Linked DNA regions of Arabidopsis thaliana. The protein of the gene in region 1 interacts with the protein of each later gene in a pairwise test. Each region holds a gene or a part of one and is shown in the gene's direction. Other genes may lie near its edges.

What was found.
Region 2: the proteins of PLP6 (region 1) and HUB1 interact in binary tests that used the Arabidopsis thaliana proteins (3 or more experiments, as listed by UniProt).

The regions. Positions count from the first base shown.
Region 1 is NC_003071.7:16,374,345-16,379,095, reverse strand, and holds PLP6 (PATATIN-like protein 6), read left to right. Parts: upstream 1-1,927; 5' UTR 1,928-2,432; coding exon 2,433-3,623; intron 3,624-3,732; coding exon 3,733-4,041; 3' UTR 4,042-4,215; downstream 4,216-4,751. UniProt on the Arabidopsis thaliana protein: Possesses non-specific lipolytic acyl hydrolase (LAH) activity. Hydrolyzes phospholipids as well as galactolipids. May play a role in disease resistance.
Region 2 is NC_003071.7:18,542,645-18,550,482, reverse strand, and holds the start of HUB1 (histone mono-ubiquitination 1), read left to right. Parts: upstream 1-1,830; 5' UTR 1,831-2,235; coding exon 2,236-2,352; intron 2,353-2,532; coding exon 2,533-2,694; intron 2,695-2,777; coding exon 2,778-2,856; intron 2,857-2,975; coding exon 2,976-3,203; intron 3,204-3,301; coding exon 3,302-3,463; intron 3,464-4,193; coding exon 4,194-4,387; intron 4,388-4,462; coding exon 4,463-4,546; intron 4,547-4,671; coding exon 4,672-4,791; intron 4,792-4,887; coding exon 4,888-5,074; intron 5,075-5,164; coding exon 5,165-5,325; intron 5,326-5,407; coding exon 5,408-5,479; intron 5,480-5,692; coding exon 5,693-5,769; intron 5,770-6,142; coding exon 6,143-6,337; intron 6,338-6,448; coding exon 6,449-6,521; intron 6,522-6,613; coding exon 6,614-6,700; intron 6,701-6,776; coding exon of another isoform or gene 6,777-6,812; exon of another isoform or gene 6,813-6,936; intron 6,937-6,938; coding exon 6,939-7,076; intron 7,077-7,161; coding exon 7,162-7,364; intron 7,365-7,458; coding exon 7,459-7,624; and 2 more. Other genes in the region: AT2G44970 (alpha/beta-Hydrolases superfamily protein), read left to right, coding at 1-116, 228-277, 363-460, 541-828, 1,011-1,484. UniProt on the Arabidopsis thaliana protein: E3 ubiquitin-protein ligase that monoubiquitinates H2B to form H2BK143ub1. H2BK143ub1 gives a specific tag for epigenetic transcriptional activation and is also prerequisite for H3K4me and maybe H3K79me.

The DNA.
Region 1 (4,751 bases):
AATGTAACAAGAAAAAAGTTATACTACATGCAGAGACTAAACAAAAGAAATTTAAAAATTAGGTATATATACCACGAGTGAGAGTACCCCTTCCTTATCTCATACCACGAGTCCCATTCGATATATGATCTCACGTAATGAAACGGGACAAATAACATGCAAGTAGACAATTTGTTAACGTGTATATAAAATCTCGAAATAGCCGTTTTGAACAAGTTAAATACGGATAGACAAAATTTATTACTCAACTAAGTTAAGTAACAAACCCAAAATCACGGGCAAAGTAAACCACACTCTTATATTATGCTTAAAATAAAGAAGATCCCATATTTGTTTGGCAAATAGATCATCAATGTAGTCGAAGGGCTCCACGCGCAGCGACAAAAACGGAACAAGAAAGAAGAAAAAATCAAAAGATTCAAAAACCTTTCTTCATCTTTATTAACATCAACTATTCAGATTTGTGTAAGACAAAAGAAAGAAGCGAAGATTACGGGGACCAACAGTGACGTGGACCTCTCCCCGTCGGTGCCCATACCACCAACTTTACTACTCCAGTACTGGTCACTTGCTTGTTCGAATTAACCAAATCCAATTATTCGTAACTATGTTTCAGATTGTTGGCTAACTGATGATCAATCCTACAATAATACTTAAAACGTTTATTAGTATATTGTTTGGAAGATGGTATAACAATTCATTGGTTACTGATGCTTGTTGCCAAAAAAAAAAAAAGGAAAAAGAAATGATTAAACGCTTGCATCTGTTTGATTTGGACTCCATAGATTCCTTTATATAGTCAACTATAATCAATACACGTGAATCATTTCGTCATTTGATTACTGTTGAGACAAGAGTCAATTACCACCAAACATATTATTTTAAAACATTAAAGTTCCGATAACTTCGGGTGATGGCCGCAAATTTGAGTTTTGGTTTGATATTGTATATGGTATTATGGTTTGAGTTAACATTATTATTATTGTATCATCAATTCATCATCCGAATTTAGACCTACATAATAAATGCAAGATGTTATATACAAGAAATTCCAACTGCCACAATATAGAAAAAGAGCAGCAAATTTTATTTTTTTCTCATTGGCTTTCATAAATGTTACTTAATAAGACACAAGACGTTGGGAAGGACTGAATGACTTTACTGATATGTTTTCATGCTACCAAATTTCGTTTTTCATCATTCTACCATATCAATTTCGAAGTAGAGGAATAATGTCGTGCACAACCAAGTCTCGGTCCCAGCTACCATTTTCTTCAATGAACACCGCAACACGTAAACGCAAGTGATACCGCAACCTAGCTAATGAAGTTTTGGTTAACATGAACTCGCACTATATGACTTCCAAATCTTTTGTCTTCAACTCTTTTTTACCAAAGATTCAAAACCGTAGGCTCTTACTCTATAAAGCTAGACCTTGTCATTTTTAATGATATTACACAGAACAAAAAAAAAAATATAAATCCAAACCTAAAATCACAACCCAACTCCGAAGATAATAAACGGCATTGAAAATCACACAACAACCTTAAAGGCTATAATCGTCACTGAATGTTACATACCGACTCTGAATATAACATAACTTATAGGATACTAAAATTATGTCAATTCAGATGTAAAGTTGTATCAATTTATTGAAAATACTAGCTACTATATGAAAAAGTTTAGAAATGTATTGGGGAATTAAGTTTTCCGAAAGAGAGTGTTTAACTAATATTGCCTCAACTCGTTTTATGAATTTTCAAATTTTAGTCATGTGGATATGGAAATGGAATAGAACTGAAATACATTCTTCTAATCAATCATAATCCATACAAATCTGTATTTTTACTCATTTGTATTTAAATGTAACAACCACATACATAATCCCACCTTAAGTACATGATTAAGGAATGACTTTTCAGCAAAACACACCTCAAAATTCTCAAATTCTTGTCAGTTCAATAAAACAATTTCCTTGAATTATTGTCAGACACTTAAAAGATTTGTATGCATGTAACTGCTGGTCCCGTATTAATATTTATTGCTTCATTCCTTATTACTAAGCAACAAAAGTCACGCGTGAGATATAAAAGAAGATCCTTTGCAGTTTCTCTGTTCTTGCTCCTTCTTCTTCATCTCCCTTTATTGATACTGTCTGAGTAATAATAAAAATTCACTCTTTTTGTCTTCTCAAGACAGATTTCAAAATAGAAATCATTCTCCTTTTTTCTTTTTGAAAATTTCGAGTGATTTAAGGAGGGAAAATAAAGACAGAAACAAGAACAAAAGCATCGTTTGCGAATAAGACTTCTCGTACTCTGTTTTCTTTTCTCGTGTTCTTATGACAGATTTATAAAAAAGATTAGGTTTTTGTCTTGTCTTGGCGATAATGCCTAGAGAGTGTTTTAAAGATTTGATTTAAATACTCTTTTATGTTAACTACGATGCAAAGAGTACACAACAAACCGATTGATTCTATCGGAGGTTTTAAGCATTTGGTAAAACAGAGTAACGGCGGTGACGGTGGAGTGACGGCGACGGATATGCAAGAACCGAGCATCGAGACTGATAAGCTTAGCTACGAGATTTTCTCTATTCTCGAAAGCAAGTTTCTTTTCGGGTATGATGATGACCTGAAGCTTATGGAATCAAGAAGCAGAGACCCGAGTCCAGAGCAAGAAACGGCATCACCGGCGATGGTGGAAGCTTTAAACGGCGTTGTTCCGGGTACAGTTAAGAACCAGAGAGGTAAAGTTTGTGTTTTGAGTATCGATAGTGGTGGAATGAGAGGGATTATACCTGGAAAAGCTTTGGCTTATCTGGAACATGCTCTGAAATCGAAATCGGGTGACCCGAATGCTCGAATCGCTGATTACTTCGACGTAGCTTCCGGTTCCGGTATCGGTGGGATTTTCACGGCGATGCTTTTTGCGTCGAGCGATGGTAACCGTCCGATCTTCAAAGCGGAAGACACGTGGCGGTTTTTAGCTATGAAAGGTAAAAGCTTTTACAACAAATCACCACCGGGGATACTAAACAGGGTTATGAAAACCGGGTCGGGTGGTTCGGGTGGGTCAGGTTCGAAGCTTGAGAAAGCGATGAAGGAGTCTTTCGAAGAGCTTACGCTTAAGGATACGCTTAAACCGGTTTTGATTCCTTGTTACGACCTCACGAGCTCTGCACCGTTCTTGTTCTCACGTGCTGATGCGTTGGAAACGGACGGTTATGATTTTAAGCTGTGGGAAGTTTGTAGAGCTACTTGGGCTGAGCCAGGAGTGTTTGAGCCGGTGGAGATGAGATCAGTTGATGGTAAGACACGGTGTGTAGCTGTTGATGGTGGTTTAGCAATGAGTAATCCAACGGCTGCAGCGATTACTCATGTGTTGCATAATAAGCAAGAGTTTCCTTTTGTTAGAGGTGTTGAGGATTTGCTTGTGTTGTCACTTGGTACGGGACAGTTGGTTGATGTTAAGTATGATTGTGATAAGGTTATGAAGTGGAAGGCTAAGCATTGGGCTCGACCTGCGGTTCGGATTTCTGCTGATGGAGCAGCTGATACTGTGGATCAGGCTGTTTCCATGGCGTTTGGTCAGTGTAGGAGGAGTAACTACGTCCGTATTCAGGTAAATGCTTATTATTAGTGCATGGGAGTGTGAGGCTCTTATTAGACTAGTTATGTGAAGTTGAATCTTGATATTGATACTAGAACTTTTTGTTTGTGTGGTTTTATAGGCGAATGGATCAAGCTTTGGTCCGTGCAAACCAAACATAGACACAGATGCGAGTCCAAGCAATGTGAATATGCTTGTGGGAGTAGCAGAGGAGATGCTGAAGCAGAAGAATGCAGAGTCTGTTCTGTTTGGTGGTAAGAAAATCAATGAAGAAAGCAATTATGAGAAGCTGGATTGGTTAGCCGGTGAACTAGTGCTAGAACACCAGAGGAGGAGTTGTAGAATCGCTCCCACTGTAGCGTTCAAGCAATCCGGCGACAGAAGAGTCGATCAACAGACCATTTTCAAGGATATTGATTGTATGTTTTGAATATTTTTAAATTGTATAGATTTGTGTTTAAGTCCAGAAGAAAGCAACATTATATTCGAATTAGGCTTTTTATTAAATCTTAAAGATATGTGTAATTTTTGTTTTACTGAATTGTTATTTTCTATTGACTCTAAAAGAGCTTCGTCAACAAAATTTTGGAATGCAGAGAGCGTCAAGGCTAATCAACAAAACAAGTTTAGCCTAATTACCTTGACTCACAAAGATTAACACATTTCTTAAACAAGAAGATAGTTGCCAACTTACCTTTAAGGACCCTTTTAGTCTCTGTTTGTTACAGAGTCATTGATTCTGCAAAACATCATATGATGCATTTCAATTTTTTCCTTTTGTAGATTAATGAAAAAATTTATTGATACGAATTTTCTCATATTCAGAAGCAAATTCTTCATTTGGAATTTTCTAAAAAGGAAAAGATGTGCAATGAGACCAAATCTCTTTGGAGATTTAATTTGATTGGAGACCAAAACTCTTTTTGTAATGATGTGATTTAACGTAAGTTCAAAGATGTGAACTTGGGACCGTAATGAATAGAACGTATCAAGAAGGCGGTTATGAAATCATATTCATTGGCGCTCCAATAAAAGTCACTTTCTTGATTCCGGGTAATTCCGGGTAGTGACACAACAACGAATATTATTACAAATTGACAATCCACTCTATGTCTTAATCTAGTAAGTATTATTTTATTA
Region 2 (7,838 bases), 2.2 Mb from region 1:
GCACGGAGGACTGTTCGTGGCTCGGCAGATGACATAGGATGGTTACAGCGTGCCCCGGAGATGCCTCCTGTTGAAGATGGAACTGATAGGTTCAATAAAATTCTGGAAGACATCGGGTATGAATTGGTTGTAGTTGCATGTTTTGTGTGCTTTGTGGCCTTTTCAATATGCTGTTTAACATCCTGTTTTTTACTAAATGGCTGCGTTGATCTGGTTTTTATATCCAGGCATGGTGTACACAGGCTTCCAAATACAGTGGTGTACTTATTGGTTCCAGGTAGCAATTCTTATTCTTTGCTGCCAGCCACTTAAACTACATTACTGTATATTAGGACTCTCAAAATTAGTTGAATTTTTTTTAGGTCTTTTCAGCAATCATGGACCTCTATATTTTGTGGATACGAAAACGAAATTCTCAAAGATGGGTTTGGCGTGTCATATTGCGAAGATTCACAGCGAGGTAATCATAACTAACTCAACTTAGTACAGTTACATTTGGTGTATAGCATACTAATATATGGAGAAATGTTTATATATCAGTCCTCGGTTGAGAAAAATGCGAGAGAGATAAAGGAATACATAGAGGAACTCTGTTGGGGATCTAATAAGCGGGTTCTACTTCTTGGGCATAGCAAAGGAGGCATAGATGCAGCTGCTGCTTTATCACTATACTGGCCTGAACTAAAGGATAAGGTCGCTGGGTTGGTACTGGCGCAGAGTCCATATGGTGGAAGCCCAATAGCTACAGATATCCTCCGTGAAGGACAACTAGGTGATTACGTCAATTTGAGAAAGATGATGGAGATTCTAATCTCCAAAGTCATAAAGGTTTGCAACATTCCTGATCTAACAAAGTCATTTCAGTTGCATTATATCAGCTTCTTGTGATTGCCTGTTAAAATCCTTAGTTAGGTGGAACCGAGAAACTAGGGATAAACCAAAACTTATTTTGTTTCTGGATTCTATTGCTCTGCTGATCTTTCTGATGAATTCCTTGGAACATTGTGAAGGGTGACATTCAAGCATTGGAAGATTTAACATACGAGAGAAGAAAAGAATTCTTGAAGAATCATCCGCTTCCCCGAGAACTCCCCACGGTTTCATTCCGCACAGAAGCTAGCATTAGCCCAGCGGTTCTATCCACTTTATCACACGTAGCACACGCTGAACTTCCTCTGACAAACCAAGCCGCAAAACTGCCAGTGGTAATGCCACTTGGTGCTGCAATGGCTGCTTGCGCTCAGCTACTTCAAGTCAGATACGGTGAAAAGAGTGACGGGCTAGTGACTTGCTGTGACGCAGAGGTTCCTGGTTCTGTGGTTGTTAGACCCAAACGTAAACTAGACCATGCCTGGATGGTGTACTCTTCCTTGAACGAGGTTCCTTTAGAAGCTGATGCTGCTCAAGTTTGTGAAGCGCTCTTAACTTTGCTTGTCCAAGTTGAGCAAGAGAGGCAACAAAAACTCGCAACAAAAATCGATTGATAAACCAAATTGTTTTATTTCTACTTTCGTCTTGAGACTTCAAATTACTGTATTTGTTTCTATCTTTTTGTTTTATTTCTTACTAATTTACTATCAGGTTTGAATCACACGATAACAAAAAAATTATTACAAACGGTAGATTTTATATTTATAAGACTACTTAATTTGCTTCTTTTTTTTTCTTTTATTGTTGATTAATTTTTATTAGAAGATTAGTTATGTTTTTCTCTCTATTCCTTTAACGAACCGTGATCGTGCGGCTCGGATCGTTGGAGATTCTATGGACGGCCGATGCTTATATACTGTAAGTGGAATATGTAATTCCCGAAAGTGCCCTCCAGATGTTCACAAAATTACGCCATCGTACTCGAATTAACTTCAACTCTCTCTTCTCTCTCTCTTTCTTTTCACTCTTGTTTTTGTTTCTGTGAGTGCTGTGTGTGTTCTCGGTTTGTAATATCTAAGTCGCACAAAGATCAGACAAAGTCTGTTTGCGTTTGATAGCATTAGAGTCTGATCGAATTTGGAAGACCTGTGAGATTAGGGTTTCTTTTTGTTTGTTTTTTTTTATTCCGAAGGAGAGCTGCGGAGCAATTGGAATTACCTCGGTTAAAGCAATCACGTAGCTTTGGATCGTTTAGGGTTTTCTCATTGGGTTTGGGGGATTTGTATTCGAGCTTCCTCAAACTCAATCTGATGGTGATGTGAGACAAGGCTTAATCCTGTTAATTGGCGATTCTAGGGTTTTTCAATGGCGAGCACAGGCGAGCCTGACCGTAAAAGGCGTCACTTTAGCTCCATATCACCTTCTGAAGCTGCAGCCGCCGTAAAGAAACAGCCTTTCTTTTGGCCCTCCTCCGAGGACAAGGTTTCTTTCTTCTTCATCTCCCCCTTGTGCATGCCCTTTACATCTATTCTCTTACTTATCCAATCAATCATAGCTTTCCAGCTATTAGAGATTCATATACTGAATGTCTTTTGTCTCGAATTTGGTCTATTTTGGAATTGGGATTCTCTCTCTTAAGGAGTTTGTTTTCGTTTGATACAGCTTGATACTGCAGTTCTTCAGTTCCAAAATCTTAAGCTATCACAAAAGCTAGAGGCTCAGCAGGTTGAGTGTTCTATTCTTGAGGATAAACTCTCTCAGATCAAGGAAAAACAATTACCATACAACTCCAGTTTGAAGACTGTCCATAAGTCTTGGGAAAAGGTAACACTGAATTTGCTTTCGATTCTAATAGAACTTGGATTAGATCTCTTTTTCTAGAGAACTAATTAATGCTTGTATAGCAGCTTACAGCTTCAGTGGAATCATGCTCTGTTCGTGTGAGTGATTCAAGCAGCGGAGCTCATAGGTTTGTAAACAAGGAGGGTATGAACAACTTAAGCCCGCCTTTTCTTCGTTCTGTTAGTGCTAGGATCTAGTTTAGATTTGGTTTTATATGTTACAAATATGACTTTTTGAAAGGTTAACTTTAAATTGCTACACAGATGGGTCTTCTCCAGCCGTGAAAAACGATTTCATCAACCGGCTACTTGAAACTGGTGCTACTGAGAGCTCCTCATCCAATATCTGCTCGAATCAGATGGAAGAAAATGGAGTGAATACGTCAAGCCAGATGACGCAAACCTTGTATAATCTAGTAGCCGCGACAGAGGATTTGAGGTGTCTGAAGGATGAATTATATCCCACAGTTCTCAGAACCAATCTTGGTAAAGGTATGACTTCCACTGCGATCAATTGTCAGCTCTTGTTATGGCCTTTATAACATTTTAGTATTAACCCAGGTCCTATGTGGAATTGCTTTCTTTTCTAGATTTGTGCGGTCAGCTAGCTCTGAGTGAGTTGGAATCAGAAATTAAAAGTTTCAGAGGGGATCTAGATGATGTACTTGTGAAGTTCAAATCACTTTCTAGAGAATTGCAGAGTCATCGCGATGCTGATGCTAAAGTTAGAGTAGACCTCAAACGAATAAGAGGTAGCTACTTAGTCTCGTCTCACTCGACTATATACTGTTAAAATGGATTTTTTAATTGGCATTGTTTATATGGATATAGTATTCATGCATCAAATGTAAATTTGTAATCATATACGTGGCTTGACAAAAAAAGGTCCTATATACATGAAAAGCTACTGAAATCATATCTCGCTTTTGATTGATGAGGATAAGTGTAAGTAGAGGTGATCAAATTGTGAATCTTCCAATTCCACGCCTGTGTATTTATGTCCAGCACTACTCAGTTGTTTAATAGCCATGATTGGATTTAGATCATAGAGATTAAGATTGAAGAGAGAGATACATTAAGACTGGAAGAAAACCTCTATGGTAGAGCCAGCTGTTAAGAAGACATGTAGCTGTGGAAGATATACTCATTAGCGAACTGATGGGTGTACAAAACCCTTCTGAGACATGAACTTCTTAGTTTTCTTTTATACCATTTACCCATATTTATATATTTCGGTAGATTTTAGGAGATAGAGAAGCTGGTAATTCTTTGAGAATGACATACATCCACATAAGTGAAGCATCTTAATTTTGTTGATAAATTACCCGTTTACCTTAAGATGTAAGATTTCAATACTGACAGTAGCCACAGTTAAGAAATTCAAAGAGTTAAAATTTATTTTAGTTTACATGCCTGCTTTTGGATTAATGCTTCTTGACTACCGCATCAACTGATATTATACTTTATTTGGTCTATTCGAAGGGGAGCTAGAGGATGAGGTTGTGGAGCTTCAGCAGTGTAATGGTGACTTGTCAGCATTGAGAGCAGAAAGGGATGCAACAGCTGGGGCGTTTTTCCCAGTGTTGAGTCTTGGAAATAAGCTTGCTACCAGTGATCGGGAGAGGGATAAACAAAGGGATCTGCAAGACATGGAAACAGTTCTGAAAGAGTTAACGGTATCTTTGTTTTTCTGATTTGTTTTCATTGGTAATTCTTTAAGTTTTGGGTTGATAACGGCCTGGTTTCGGTAGGTCCTGGCTTCAGGCAGGCTACAACAGCTAAAAAATCTTCATGAGGAGAGGACAAAGATGCTTGGAAAAATGAGTAATTTACAGGTCAGTGTATTGATCCAATTGGGGTATTTGTATTAGTTTGTCTCTGTATGGGGTTTGATATATGAAAATTTGTGGAATGGTAGCCTCTTCCTATTGCTAAAACTGATGTAAGAGTTTTCTAACAGAACAAGTCAAAGTCTGTGAGGTGCATCTCATCTTCTCAAGCCTGCCTTTCTTTGAAAGACCAGCTAGAAAAATCCAAAGAAGCAGTTTTCCAGTATATGGCTTTACTTGAGAAACTGCAGGTTATATCTGGTTTGCGATTTTCATTTTGTATCTATGTTTATAAAATTTACGTTGTATATTTAGTTGTGAAGCTTTCCTCCATTCGAAAATTTCAGGTTGAAAAAGATAGTATAGTCTGGAAGGAAAGGGAGATAAATATAAAAAATGAACTAGGTGATGTTTCTCGAAAGACGTCTGCTGTTACTGATTCTAGAATGGCTTCTTTGGATTCGGAGATACAGAAACAACTGGATGAAAAAATGCGAATCAAGACTAGGCTGGGAAATATATCAAGAGAGCGAGGTCACAAATTGATTACTTTGACTTCCAATTCTGTATCTCCCACCCACACCTGTTTCACTTTGGAGTCTGATTAAGTTATTCGTATGTCAGGTAGAAAAGAAATCTTTGCAGATATGAAGGCATTAATTTCTTCGTTCCCCGAGGAAATGAGTTCCATGCGTAGTCAATTAAACAATTATAAAGAGACTGCTGGAGGTATTCATTCTCTGCGGGCTGATGTCCAGTCCCTCTCTGGGGTTCTATGTAGGAAGGTGGGAAATAATGTGAACAGTGATTGATGCTTATTGTTACAGTTTATGTTATGCTTACTTAATAAGCTTAATTGGTGAACAGACAAAAGAGTATGAAGCATTGCAATTGAGATCAGCTGATTATGCTTCTCAGTTAGGTGACCTGAATGCTACGGTATGATGCAATGTATCTACCTTTTTCAGTGTACTGCCCATGACTTATATATGTTGACAGTGTTCATATTGGTTATTGTTACTTTGCATTATTTCTTGGAAAAAGTATAGTGAAAAGGCGGATTAGCAATTTAAATCTTGTTAAATGTCTTTGGTTGGCAAAGTGGTAGTTGTTATGTTCTTTACTTTCAATTGATTGGAGTCTGTCATGCAGGTTTGTGATTTGAAGAACAGTCATGAGGAGTTAAAGTTGTTTCTGGACATGTATAAACGTGAGTCCACTGATGCGAGGTAAGCACAACTATATATAACGATATCTAAGATTTCAATTCTTAGAGAAAAGTTTCCTTATCTTCCCCTTCTCACTGTCCAAATATATAGTATAACAACAAGTGCTGTTATTAATCTTGCCTTCTGACTGAACTATCGAATCTTGCTGAAAGTTTGTTGTTAATTTTTCTTGCGTTTCTGAAGAAACTTATGTTCACATTTTCAATTTATCCATGACAGCTTTTAATATCTGATCTATTTTTACAGTTCCATCTGATAAAAACTCTTTTGGATGTGTTAGGATTTGTTTATCTTCTTATCTTGACTGAACACATTATTATAATGCGGTTGGTATATTGCCTTAAGCATCACTGTCGATAATGTGCTATGGCAGGGACATAGCTGAAGCCAAGGAACAGGAGTACAGGGCTTGGGCTCATGTTCAGAGTTTGAAATCATCCCTTGATGAGCAAAATCTGGAGTTGCGCGTTAAGGCAGCAAATGAAGCTGAAGCCGTTTCCCAACAAATGTTGGCTGCTGCGGAAGCAGAGATTGCTGATTTAAGGCAGAAAATGGATGATTGTAAAAGGTAAATAAGTATAAGTAGAAGTCTGCAATTTATAGATGCAATCACGCAGTTCTTCCATAGGAATTCTTTGAGAGTTTTTTGTTTGACAAGGATAAGTCTTTTCTGTTTCAGGGATGTCGCCAAGCATTCTGATATCTTGAAATCTAAACATGAAGAACATGGAACATATCTTTCTGAAATACAGGTTGGCTTATGAAATTTCGTGTTTCTTTGTTCTTAACATATTTTAAAAACCTTGATGTTGCGTATCGATTTACAGTAACTATATTCTTTTAGACAATTGGAAGTGCCTATGAGGACATTGTACCGCAAAACCAACAGCTTTTGCTTCAAGTTACAGAGAGGGATGACTATAACATCAAGGTATCGTGTCCAAACTCTTCTAGTTCCTCTATCTGATCTATCTCTGTGACTTCTCACTTACTCTTATATCTAGTAGTGTTACATTTATTCAGAGATTGATGGATCGTTTTAATGGGCATGGACCAATTTCTGTGGTTATACCTTGTATGTTTTGCTAGAATATCATGAAAAAAAGGATGGTTTGTTACTTGGATCAGACAATGAGATGTAATTTTTTGCTCGCCCATTGTTGTTTCAGCTTTTCTTGGAAGGCATAACTTCTAGGCAGATGCAAGATACTCTGCTTATCGATAAATACATCATGGATAAGGATATACAGCAAGGCAGTGCATATGCCAGTTTCCTATCCAAGAAATCATCAAGAATTGAAGATCAGGTATATCTGTGTGTGCCCGTATGCTCAAATTGTAAGCCTCCTTATTGTGAGACTTTGACTAAGGTGTTTTTCTTTTTCCTTGCAGTTGAGGTTCTGCACAGATCAGTTTCAGAAACTAGCGGAAGATAAATATCAAAAGTCTGTTTCTCTTGAAAATCTGCAAAAGAAACGTGCAGACATCGGGAATGGCTTGGAACAAGCTAGGTCAAGGCTGGAGGAGTCCCATTCTAAAGTTGAGCAAAGTCGGCTGGATTATGGGGCATTAGAACTGGAACTGGAGATTGAAAGGTAAATCAATTGCTCCCTCCATCTTCTCTATCCTAATTAATAGTCATAAACAAGTGTTAGTGATGAAGGTATCGTTCTTTTCTGCGTATATCAGGTTCAATAGGAGAAGGATAGAGGAGGAAATGGAAATAGCCAAAAAGAAAGTTTCTCGTCTTCGGTCTCTCATAGAAGGATCATCGGCCATTCAAAAGCTCCGACAAGAACTCAGTGAATTTAAAGAAATTCTGAAGTGTAAGGCCTGCAACGATCGCCCAAAAGAGGTAAAGAGTCACTGCTCTCCATTATTTAGATCTCAGCAAGACGCTCAAATCATGATCCCTTGAATCTTTTAGTCAACTGCGTGCGTGATTGCTGATTGGTTTTGGTCTTTGGCTTAACAAACTAGGTGGTGATTACGAAGTGCTACCATTTGTTCTGCAACCCATGTGTGCAAAAGCTCACAGGAACTCGACAAAAGAAGTGTCCAACATGCTC